3 linked regions of the Coturnix japonica genome follow. The protein of the gene in region 2 purifies or fractionates together with the protein of the main gene of each other region. This does not show direct contact. Links are inferred from orthologs where the notes say so. Each region holds a gene or a part of one and is shown on either strand. Other genes may lie near its edges.

Evidence for each region.
Region 1: the proteins of RASSF1 (region 2) and MAP1B purify together in Homo sapiens (affinity purification with mass spectrometry; 3 studies listed by BioGRID and IntAct, counting the BioPlex papers as one, with this or other methods). This does not show direct contact. The link is inferred for Coturnix japonica from reciprocal best matches to the Homo sapiens genes RASSF1 and MAP1B.
Region 3: the proteins of RASSF1 (region 2) and SAV1 purify together in Homo sapiens (affinity purification with western blotting; 3 studies listed by BioGRID, with this or other methods). This does not show direct contact. The link is inferred for Coturnix japonica from reciprocal best matches to the Homo sapiens genes RASSF1 and SAV1.

The regions. Positions count from the first base shown.
Region 1 is NC_029547.1:23,153,475-23,157,402, forward strand, and holds the start of MAP1B (microtubule-associated protein 1B), read right to left. Parts: upstream 2,801-3,928; 5' UTR 2,698-2,800; coding exon 2,520-2,697; intron 1-2,519. UniProt on the Homo sapiens protein: Facilitates tyrosination of alpha-tubulin in neuronal microtubules. Phosphorylated MAP1B is required for proper microtubule dynamics and plays a role in the cytoskeletal changes that accompany neuronal differentiation and neurite extension.
Region 2 is NC_029527.1:644,760-648,905, forward strand, and holds the start of RASSF1 (ras association domain-containing protein 1), read right to left. Parts: upstream 2,801-4,146; 5' UTR 2,699-2,800; coding exon 2,452-2,698; intron 1,541-2,451; coding exon 1,419-1,540; intron 720-1,418; exon of another isoform or gene 612-719; intron 66-611; coding exon 1-65. Other genes in the region: ZMYND10 (zinc finger MYND domain-containing protein 10), read right to left, coding at 3,902-3,986, 4,117-4,146. UniProt on the Homo sapiens protein: Potential tumor suppressor. Required for death receptor-dependent apoptosis. Mediates activation of STK3/MST2 and STK4/MST1 during Fas-induced apoptosis by preventing their dephosphorylation.
Region 3 is NC_029520.1:52,524,952-52,528,923, forward strand, and holds the start of SAV1 (protein salvador homolog 1), read right to left. Parts: upstream 2,801-3,972; 5' UTR 2,658-2,800; coding exon 2,564-2,657; intron 1,967-2,563; coding exon 1,520-1,966; intron 1-1,519. UniProt on the Homo sapiens protein: Regulator of STK3/MST2 and STK4/MST1 in the Hippo signaling pathway which plays a pivotal role in organ size control and tumor suppression by restricting proliferation and promoting apoptosis.

The DNA.
Region 1 (3,928 bases), on a different chromosome or scaffold from region 2:
CAAAGAATAGCCTAGGCATGCTATCCACACAGCAGCTGAGGATGAGATTTGGTAAAATAGGCCAGATTTGCAGATGCATGATTCAGCATTTTGGATGCAAAACCTATACAAACACCTTAAAATGTAGTATAAATGTATCAAGTAAATTATACAACCAAATCAAGTTTGGATGCAATGGAAGTAAATCTGGAACAAAAATCCAAGGTCAATCCAATGATGTGTATTATTATCAGGATGGAAGAAACTACTGTGAGGATGACTGAGCTGTAGCTATTTCCTTCCTTCTGCAGTCTCTGGAGCATAGCGCCACTAGACACAGGGCTAATCAGACAGCAGACAGGGCACACCCAGCAGCATCTGCCAAATCGGTGGAAAGATCCTGAAGCTTTCTCCTTACTCCCCTCTTCTTCTCTACTGGATGGTGGGCTGGAGGACTGCCCCCTCAGCAGAATGACATCCCAAATGTAATTACTGAAAATGCAGCTTGCCAAGCAATTCCCACTTCATGATATATTAAGAAATGACTCTGCATTCCACCAGGTTACGTAGCATCACGCCACTGATGTCCTATCAGGAGATGTTTTTTGCTGGCATATTGCTCTGCAGTTCAGTGCGTGAATCCACACTTTTCTCTGGTGGTACTTAGGAGATGCACCAGAGAAGACCTTGAGGCAGAGTTATCAAGAACCCTAAAACCACTTAAGGCTCTACTGAGGACAAAGGCTGAAAGAAGCCAGTTTTTCCCTACTGCACTTTCCAAAGGGAAAGATTAGTCAAGCCCTCAAATAGACAGAGCTACAGACTCAGAGTGTACTGATCCAGAACAATGCACCCCAAAATCTGATTTTTTTCCTAGCAGGCAAGATCCCTGTCAAATCACCTGACATCAGGAAGAATGAGGTGACTTTTCAACCAAAATGATGAATAAAAACACTAAGGTATTTCCCTTGAATATCTAAAACTGTAAGCAGGTGTTAAGCTTGTTGGCTGGAGGTAGCAGCAACAGAGCTATGCAGCAGCAGCTTCACAATAGAAGCTTCAAGAAGCGACTGAAGAACATTTCTTCTGAGGAAGGATGACATCAGATGCCTTTACAGAAGTTTTTTTCCATTTGCTCTATAAATTGCATCAATTTAATTGAAATTCAGCCAATTCACTTCAACACAATCAACAATTAGTTAAAACGAGAGAGGGAGAGAGGCGCAATGCTGAAGAGGCTCTGAATGACAAAGCATCTGCATCAGTAGTCCTCCCTAGGAGACAATGGTTGAGATAAAGATCAACGGGTCACGGTGAAGCTGGTAAGCCGGAATGAGGCAGATCTTTGCTGTGAACAGCCAAGAAAAAGAACCATGAGAAATCGCCAACTGCAGCAGAAAGGGTTGAGAACACAACAATAGAGACAAGCGAAGTCCTAGCTGGAGTGCTGAACCACACCTACATTCAAGGCTGGTATCAAATCCCTTGCAGGCTCCCTCTCTCCTTTCACACAATAGCGTATTTCTGATTTTTGCACTTTCATCAGCCCAGAACAAGGTATACACTAAAAAAAAACCAAAAATCACATCTTAGGCTAGTTTAGCAAACTATGAGGTCCCCCAATAATTTCCTTTGTGCTTCATACCACACTTACAGCAACAGGGCTTTTCACCTCTCTATGCACACCGCAATCTCCTTTATTAGAAACCGCATCAAGAACTTACAGAACTCGGACATTTCACATGTGGTACCTTCACCCAAAGCCACCTTAAGGAAAGGGCAAACGAGCAGCGAGCCGCCGCAGCCCGGGATGGACAATAACGGGGCTGGGCACTCAGACTGCAGCCTCGTTACCAGCATCTTTTTTATTTCTTTCAACACAGGGGTGGGTGTGTGCCATGCTTGGGTCCCGAAGGATTCTGCATCGCGCTGCCGAAACTTGGGCACAATGCGCAGGGATGGAGCCGCAGCCCTGCGGTCGCTGGGAAAACGCCCCACTGCCGCCGGGGTCTGCGGCGCTGCGACGGAGACGGCGATGGGGACAGGGATGGGGATGGTGACGGGGATGGGGATGGGCTGCAGCCCCCACCCAGCCCCTTTCCCGGCGGCGCTGGAGCAGGCGCCCTTTGTCCGCTCCGGGCTGCCATAGGGACCGCAGTGCGGTCTGTGCCACGCCCACCCGCCGGTGTCTCCGGGCAGACGGGCTGGGCGTCCGCCGCAGCCCCGACAATGGCGCGGGGCGGGAGCGCGGGGCAGGGGCTGCGGGCGCGGGGACCACGCGGGGGGCCCCGGGGTGCGGGCGGGGCCGGGCGGGACCCGCAGTTAAAGAAAGAGAAGCGCCGGGGCTCGGAGCTGGGCTCGGCGCTCCCCCGCCCCGCAGGGGGTGCAGCGGGCGCGGCTGCAGCAGCACGGAGCCCCCCGTCGGGGCGCCTTGGGCAGCGGGCGGGGAGCGGCCGCCGAGCGGCTGCCGGGGCCGTGCGGGTCGCAGGGGGAGCCGCGCACCGTGCGCTCCGCGCGATCCGCCGCCGCCACCATCTCACCTCGTTCAATGTTGGTGATGGCGCGGCGCAGGTGCTCCTCTGTCACCAGCTCGCCGATGACCACCAGCAGGTAGAACTTGCTGTCCAGGAAGCGATGCGACAGGCTGGGCGAGGGAGCGGCAGGGTTCGGGAGGCTGCAGGAGGGCTCCGAGTCCGCTTCCACTACCACGGTGGCCATCGCACCCCCCGCTCCGCCCCGCGGCTCCGGGGCGCTGAGGGGAGAAAGAAGGGCCGCTCGGCGGCGGCTCCGCAGGCGGCAGGGAGTGAGGGCGGGCGGGGAGGCGGCCGCGCTTTTATACGGAGACGGGGCAGGGCAGGGACCTGCCGAGGAGGAGGAGGAGGAAGGGGGGGAGCCGGCGCATCCCCGCCGCCGCTTTTCCAGCATCCACGGCTGATGTCATCTGCAGCAAATCCTCCCCGCGGCGGCCCCCGGAAGCAGGAAGGACGCGGGGTGCGAACAACGCCCGAGGGTCGCCGGCGGACCCCAACGCCCCGCGGTCTCGCATCCCGCAGCCCTCGGTGGCCGAGGCCCCTGCGGAGCTCCGGCTGCGCCCAACCGGGCGGGATGCGGCTCCGGGACCCGGCCTTCTGCATCGCCCTGCGGTGCTGCAGCGCAGCTCGATAACCCTTACGGCTAGCAATCGCAGTGGTATTCTTACAGTTTGCTTGATGCTTCAAACGTAGGGCTCCTGCATGCCTTCAGTGTGCATGGATTTGTGACTCACCCCAAGGGTTATGGATAGGGTGCTTCCAGCAGTGGACAAGCATTGAGAAACCGTAATGCTAAGGCCTTGGAATTTCAAAGGGCTTCAGGTGGCTCCTTTTTACCAGCAGCTCCAGTGGAGCTGGAAAACACCTTCCATCACAAAAGCAAAGGGCGGGTTCCTGAGTAAAACCATGCCAGAGCCAGATGTCTGCTCTCCCATGTTCATCAAAACCCCCTTAAAAGGTAAATTCAGTTACCACCTAGCAGTGTTTTATCCTCCCCTAAAACTGGATGGAGTACTCTGGGATAAACCAGCCTCCTGGAGATGTTCTCACTTCACAGAAGCCAGGCAGTAGTTTACACTAAGCATCATTTGTGTGGCTGAAGTGATGCAGGACCTGGGAGAAGATATAAATGTTGATAGCCTGGTTTACAAGACAAGTTCTGATTGCTGGCTGAGGAGATGTCAACATGCAGGTCCTTGCAGCACTCATTGCTCTAGTGGCCTGGTGTGCCCTGGTTACACAGTCCTTGCCTGGAGGAAGTGATACCCCAGGTCTGCTTTCTTAGAGTAAGCACTTTGGTTTGGGGCACAGTGCAGTCATTCTAATCGACATGCACTTGTCATTTAATTGACAATCCCAGAACGTCTCTGCCCACATCTTGGACTGAAACTCTGTTGCTCCAGGTGCTGGTCCATAGC
Region 2 (4,146 bases):
TCCTTGATGCGCTGCTCCACCTGCGCCGGGTCCAGCTCCGCCGTCTCCCAGCTGCTGGGCTCATCCTGCGGGGTGGATGCCGTGCTGAGCACAGGGTCGCATCGCACCACGGCCTCGTGCCTGTCCCCAACGCCGGGATGGCCACCCCATGGCCGTGAAGGTGGGGTGACGGATGGCGATGCCAACCCACGTTCCTCCCAGCCGGGACAGCCCGGGGTGTCCCCTCCCAGCGCTCCAGATCACAGCGGTGTCCCCGAGGCAGCCGCCAGCCCGGCACCGGGGTAGGCTGGGTGCCCCATGGGGATGCCCGAGGCTTCGGGGCAGCCCGCCCGTGTCTGTTAATGACTATTTACATAGGTCCGCACAGCCGCACGTGTCCTCACGGTGCTGTGGGGCCGGGAGCGGCCGGGGCTGCCGGACCTGCGTGGGGATGGGGGCAGCTCGCTCCCAGCAAAGCACGCTTTCCCCCCCCGCTCCCCCCAGTAACAAGCCGCGCTCGCTCCCACGCGTGTCCCCGTGCAAAGTGCCCCCGAACTCCTCCCACCCAAAAAACGCCCCGTGCCCCCCGCATGACGTCAGCCCCACGACGTCACGGCCGGCCCGGGACCGACCTGGCGGCGACGCGGGCGGCGGCCGAAGGAGGTGCGGGCGGTGTAGAAGAGCTCGGGCTCGGAGTCGGAGTCCTCCTGGCTGCAGTAGCCGCTGCTGGCCGCGCTGCCCCCCGAGCCCCCCGCGCCGCCCCAGCGCAGCGCCAGCCCCGCCGCCCCGCAGCCGCCGGACCCCGCCCCGCCGCCGCCGCCCTCTACCCCGGCCACGGCTGCGGCAGCCCCGGCCCGGGCACAGGGGCACGCCCGGCCCCGCGCCAGCCCGCCCGCTCCGGCCCGGCTCCGCACGGCCCGCTTCGCCCGGTTCGGCTCGGCTCGGTTCAGCGCCGCTCCTCGGCTCGGGTCCCGGCTCGATTCAGTCCCGCTTCCCGGTCCCGGTTTCAGTCTCGGCTCCGGTCCCGGTTTCGGTCCCGTTTCGGCCCGGTTCCTCGCTCAGTCCCACCCGGCTCCGTCTCTCCCGCTCTCCCGCTGCCCGGCCCGGCTCAGCCCGGCTCCGCCCCACCGCGGCCGTTGGCCTGACGCGGGCCGGGGGCGGTGCGGCCCCGTTTCCGGCGGTGATTTCACCCGGGCCACGCACCCTGCGGTCCCAGGGCTGCTGCGGGCACGACACGGCAGAGCTTGGCACGGCACGGCATGGCACAGCACCACATGGCACAGCACCGCATGGCACGGCATGGCGCAGCGTGCCGTAGCCTGGCATAGCACGGCCTCTCGTGGCACGGCTCGGCGCCCCTTGGCTTGGCACGGCCCAGCCTGGGCTGTCCCCGCTCCCTCCACGTCCGCCCCGCTCCCCCCATCCCCGCGGTCCCGTACCACATTCGTGTCCTTCTCCAGCTCCTGCTCGCTGCCATCGTCCTCGTCCCCGGTGCCTGGGGGGCCGCTGCAGTCCAGCCGCACCAGGGCCCGGCAGCGGTAGTGGCAGGTGAAGCTGCAGTCTGGGGCAGAGGACACAATGGGCACAACGGCCCCAGCAGACCCCACGCACCGGCCGTGCCACCTGCCCACATGCCCACGCTGTACCAGGGCACCCAGCGTGGCACCCGGCGCTGCTGGGCCGTACCGAGGTGCCCACGTCCCCTGCCTGGTCACACAGTGCGGGCACCCAGCAATGGGATGCCTGGTACCTGAGCAGGTGCTTGGTACCGGGATACCCGCAACAAGGGGGGTGGTACCGGGATGCTCAGTACTGGGTTGGTTGGTACTGGAATGCTCGGTACCGGGTTCTAAGGACCAGGATGCTCAGTACTTAGGATGCCCATGATCTACTTGGATGTTCAATACTGGGACTGCAGTGTCCATTTTGGGGTGCCCAGTGCCAGGTGGGAGTGCTCAGTACTGTGGAGCTCAGTGCCTGGATGCCTGGTACCCAGCGGGGGTGCCCTGGGCAGAGATGCTCAGCACTGGGCTGCTCAGTGCTTGTTTGGTACCGGGCGCCCACAGCCTGGCTGCTACCAGGATGGCCGGGGAGATGTCTGGTGGCAGGAGGCTCAGCCCGGGGACAGCTGGTACCTGAGAGGATGCTCCATATAGTTTGCCCAGGCTTTGTAGTATTAACCTGGTACAGGGATGCCCCATGCTCGGGGCAGTGGGGTCTGATACCAGGATACGTGATGCCTGGTGCCAGGGGAGGGATGCCCTGTACTCTGTGCTGGGATGCTCGGTGCCCGGGAAGATGCCCGGTACTGGGATGCCCAGTGCCCAGGGGAATGCTCGGTACCGGGATACCAGTCCCAGGGCAGCCACTGCCTGGGGGCTGCACGGTACCGGGATGCTCGGTACCGGGACACCCGGCGCTCATGGGGGATGCGCAGCGCCCGGGGGATGCTCGGCGGGGTGCGATACTCACGGCGGCACTGGAGGCTCTTCCTGCCGCCTCCCCAGACGAAATCCCCGCAGAGGTCGCACCAGGTGTGGAGCCCGCGGCGCCGGGGCTCGAAGCGATGCCCGGTGCTCGGTGCCGCCGGTCTGTGTTCGGGCCGCGCTCCGGGGCCGTGCCGACGGGCCGGGCTGATGCGCAGCGCGTTGGTTCGCTCCAGGCGGCCCCGGCCCGGCCGCGGCTCCGGCTGCAGCTCCCGCAGCTCGATCAGCTCCATGGCCCGGAGGGGGCCGGGAAAGGGGGCGGCCGCCCCGCGGGGGAAACTGAGGCAGAGCCCCGGCGAGGGCCGATGGAGCGGCGGCTCCGCTGGCTGCGTCCGGCGGGGCGGGAGGGAGGCGGGGACGGGGGAGGGTGTGTGGGGCGCTGGCCGGCCCCGTTCCCCGCAGCCCGGGGCGGCCCCGCTCCTCGCCTCAGTTTCTCCGCCGGGGGCTGCCCTGGAACGGCCGCGCTCAGCCCCGAGCTCAGGGCGGGGGCAGAGGGATCCCCCCCCTCCCACCTCCGCCCCACGGAAACGAGCACCGCGGGACCGGACGGCGGCGAACGGCCCCATCCTCAGAGCCGGCCCCACCACGAAATGCCAAGGAGGCAGCAGAGCCGAGCTCCAGCCCTCAAGCACTGCGGATGGGGGAGTCCTCCTGCCCCGAGCCCAAAGCTCCAGTGCCCCTGTGACCCCACCGGCATCTCCTCCCGGGTGCCCTGGGACGACACGGCAGCCGAGGGATCGACTCCTCAGTGCTAAGTCCCTTCAGCTGAAAGCAGGGACAAAAGCAACATTAAAATCACACCCAGGCCATTCGTTTCCCCCTATAGAAGTGCTCACAGCCCCGAGCTGCTGCAGCTCAATTTGGACATTGCTCACAGACATTAACGTTTGGGTGGTGTAGCATGAGGCCGGGCTTTGGAGCTGGTGATCCCAGCAGGTCCCTTCCAGCACAGGATATTCTATGGTTTCTCTCTGCATTCAGCAGCTGACAGACCCGAGCAGCACAGCTTGCTCAGCTCCACACTAACCACATCCTCTGATACCGCCCTGCTGCTCTCACAGTGGAGGTGATGCTGAGCCCTTCTCCTGATGCCTGGAGGAGCTCGATGTGAGTGAGCCCATGCCTCGGTGACAGCAGGCCGGGCCGTTTTGATCTCCATTTCCAAACTTTGTTCGCTCATTTTCAAGTTCTCCAGGCTTCCTGTTGCCTCATAGGGTAAAAAGCAACACACACAAACCTCTCGCTGGGTGCGAGGGAGGGGAGGAAGTGGTTTATTTCTTCAAAGAGGAGACAGGAGGGGGAGCTGAGCCCCCGCGGGGTGCAGCAGGAGCGGGGGTGTTGTGTGGGGGTGTTGTGTGGGGGGGACGGGGAGGCTGAGCCCCACGAGGCTGCGAACCTGCGGGCATCTCTCCAAGGACAATCAGCCCCTGCCCTGCTCACTGTGTGCCCGCAGTGCCCGGTGCCTGTGCCAGCAGGTCGCAGGCAGTGCGATGCTTCTGCCAGTGCTGGACCTGGCACGCCCTGCGGGGGGAGCCGCACGTCAGGGCTGTGTCTGCTCTGCGGAGCCCAGGGGGACGCGCCCACCCCCGGGGCGCTCCTCAAGCTGCCGTAAGGCTGAGAGCGGGGGCAGCAGCAGCCGCAGGTCCCTTACCGTGTGCAGTACCACTCGTTCCTGCAGCGG
Region 3 (3,972 bases), on a different chromosome or scaffold from region 2:
CAAGTCTTAAACATCAGCATCTCAATCTGCACTGCCTGGCAGCAGCGATGCCAGCACTGCTCTCCTGCCATGCTTCAATGGAACATCTCTGTATTAAAAACCAAACACCACCAGCAAAGCATTGTCAGCTTTTTAGCTCCACCCACAAGTTCAGTGCTGACAATTTTACCAGCAGATTGCAAATAACAATGAACTAACAGCATATTTCACTGCATTATTTAAAGGTCTGGAGTGCTGCTCTCAAACTCCTCCCTGAGCATCATTTCAGCAGTAGAAACACCACTCAAACACCGCCTGCAAGGTCACAGTTCTATGGGTAACACTGACATCTCACATTTCTTCTTTCAGTACATTGACAGCAGCATGACATACAAAAGACTCTTCTGTGTCATCACAGATAACCAAATACTTCAAAAACAAATACTGAAGGGATTTCTTTTCTGATTCTCTTGTTCCATAAGAAAAATGCAGCAGGTCCCTGAAAGTGTGTGATCATGACTCTTCCTCAATGACATGGAATGACCTGGGTTGGAAGGGACCACAAGGATCATGAAGCTCCAACCCCCCACCACAGGCAGAGTCACCAACCTCCACATTGATACCAGCCCAGGCTGCCCAGGGCCCCATCCAACCTGGCCTTGAACAGCTCCAGGGATGGACGGGGCATCCACAGCCTCTCTGGGCAGCTGTTCCAGCACCTCACCGCTCTCACAGTAAAGAACTTCCCCCTGACATCCAATCTAAATCTTCCCTCCTTCAACTCCAAACCATTTCCCCTTGTCCTGCTGTTATCTGCCCTTGTAAAGAGTTGTCTCCCCTCCTGTCTGTAGGCTCCCTTTAGGTCCTGGCAGGCTGCACTGAGGTCACCCCGCAGCCTTCTCTTCTCCATGCTGAACAAACCCAGCTCCTGTAGCCTGTCTTCACAATATTACAATATTATAAGCCAAAAAGAATTCAGACACTAGGAAGTGAATTTTAGCACTAACTACACATCAATTTGCTGATTACACAAAACAGTCATTACTCATTGTTTCACAATAAATAATTCATTATAAAATTAACAAAAATCAAATGACACAATGATATTCTGGGCTTGTTTAGCTTGGAGAAGAGAAGACTGAAAGGAGACCTCATAGTGGGCATCCAATACTTGAAGGGAGTGTATAAACAGGAGGGGGAACAACTGTGAGGGTGGGCAGTGACAGGACAAGGGGGAATGGTTTGAAACTGAGACAGGGGAGGTTCAGGTTGGATCTTAGGAGGAAGTTTTTCCCCCAGAGGGTGGTGACGCACTGGAACAGGTTGCCCAAGGAGGCTGTGGATGCCCCATCCCTGCAGGCATTCAAGGCCAGGCTGGATGTGGCTCTGGGCAGCCTGGGCTGCTGGTTGGTGACGCTGCACACAGCAGGGGTTGGAGCTGGATGAGCACTGTGGGCCTTTGCAACCCAGGCCATTCTGGGATCCTATGTACCTAAAGCTGTTCAGTGATATGTGAAGGGCACAATGAACCCATCCTCACCTGACATGCGCCTCCCATGGTTGTGAGCCATCCTCTGGAAAAGCTCCCCACCGTGCTCATAATACCTGCAGTCCTCATGCAAGCGATCATTCAATTGCCGTCTCCTCTGGGCATCATAGAAGTGATCATAATAGTAACAACGTGTGCCGGCATCTCCATTTTCCATAACCGAGTTGGTTTCTGTCAGAAAGGACTGTGAGGAAGAGCCGTATTCTCTAGCGACGTCAGCTAAACTTCGAGCAAAGTAGGAAGGTGCAGACAGTCTGTTGCTTTCACGCCTCATTATTTCATGGGGCGCCCTCTGCACCGGCGTCCGAAGGAAACTCTGGTTTCTGGAAACAGCTCCATCTCCAGCAGAGCCATAAGCAGAAGGACTCGGGTCGGGAGGGCAGATGTCAGTTCGTCTTGGAATGGTCGGACCGTGACGGATAAAGGAAGGCATCAGATCTGGTACAGCAGAGAAAGGAAATGAGAGCTTTGTACGCACTTATGGTATTTGGCGAGCCAAAGTGTCTGACTTACAGCATGGAAGTAACTCCATTCTGATGCCAGAGCCCCCTTAAAGCACCTCTCAGTGTAGCAGCGTAACAGTAGGGCTGCAGCAACAAAAGCCATCACACCCTCCATGTGCAACAGAAGCTATTGCCAAAGAAGCGCAGTTTAACAGCCAAAGAAGCCAACACAAACAGCTCCCACCCCTTATCAGTCAGGCTCTAAACCTCTCCGTTACACCAAGATCCAGCCCAAGCCCCGTGAATCCCGCCCTATCAACACCTCACCAGCTCAATCACACAATCAAAGCGCGGCCCGGCTTGGGAGGGAGCTCAAGGCTCACGGAGCCCCAACCCCCCCCGTTTATTACAGAGCCCCCCCAGGCCGCAGCGCGGTGTCTCCCCCCGCCCAGCCCCAGCCCTGAGCTCGGTGCGGGCCGGGCCGGGCGAGGGCGCAGCTGAGCGCCGGGCTGAGGGGGAACAACGCGGCCGTGTGGAGCCCACGGCACGGCACGGCACGGCACGGCACGGCACGGCACGGCACGGCACTCACTGCGGAGCAGCGGGCTGGTCTCCTTCTTCACGTACTTCCCCTGCACCTCGCCGGGCTTCGACAGCTCCGCCCGCGTTTTCTTCCTCGACAACATCCCACCTCCTCCTCCCGGCCCGCTCCCAACGCCCGCATACCCGGCTCCGCTCGGGCAGGGCCGGGCCGCCCTCGGGCTCACAGCGGGGCCGTGTGTGGGGCGGGCGGCGGGGCCGTTAGGCGCGGGGCGTTGTGGGGCGGCGGCCCCGCCTGGGGAGGAGACGAGACGGGAGGAACGACGGGGACAGAGCGTCGCGGTGGCGCGGTCACAGCGCCCTCTAGCGGAAGGAGTGTGGCGGTACAGCACTCTGCTTGGTTCGAGATTCATCACCCAGCCCTGCCATAAAGGATGGGAAACAACCAGCCACAAGCAGGGATCTGACAGTGATTTATTTCATTTCTTTACATTCATGATAAATAACACACAGCTTGGTCCCTCCTTCCCCTTCACGTGGTGGTGTAAGGTCAGCACATGACGACGCGCAGCAAAAACAAGCGTACCCAAAGACCAACTGTTTCCATTTATGCATTAGACAGGTCAGCAGTGCCAGCATCACACACAGCAGGAAGGCATGGAACACCTGAGGGCTGGTGATGCTGTTTGTGTTGTAATGGACAGAGCTGGGCTGTCCCCAGCTCCACCTCGCCTATTCATTGGCTAAAAGTATGTTACAACCCTTCCTTTTCCAGCCAGAACTGAACTAATTCAATTTGCTTTGTACCCAAAGTAGCAATGGGAATATAGGTAGCAAAGCATGCTTTTATACCATCCTAAATTGACATGTAGTACTTCAATGGTGTGAATTCAGCTCACGTCCATTTAACACGAGTGCGATTCCTCTGCCCCCTCCTGCTCCCCAGACTCCAGCCCTGGATACCCACATGCCTTTATTCTCACAGTGATTCATAAAATGAGAGTTGAAAGCATTGAAAACACCTTCTGGCCGTGCAGTTACTGATAGCCAAACAGGCGAGCCCTGCTGTACCAAGGAGGCCCAGAAATTCAGTGACTTACCACATCGCTAAATACTTTGGTATCTGAAAAATGCCTGTAGTGCATAGGAGACACATTCATGCACAAAAGACCACAAAATGCTTTGCACGTTTGCATGTTTCTATGCTTATTTTCAGTAGCCTTGACACTGTGGGATGAGCTGCTTATCCCTTGAGCTGACACAACAAGCAACACAACACTGGTTGGAGCACCGTGACCATTCCCCCCACCTGGGAAGGGTTTGTCCTGAATTGTCCTGCAGCAACAAAAGCGGTACAGCATAGAAATGACAAAAGGCACTTCTGAGAACTCATTCGCACAAGCATTCCAATGAGATTTGGGTTTTTTGTCTACTGTGTTTCTCCTCCATCATTCTCCAGTC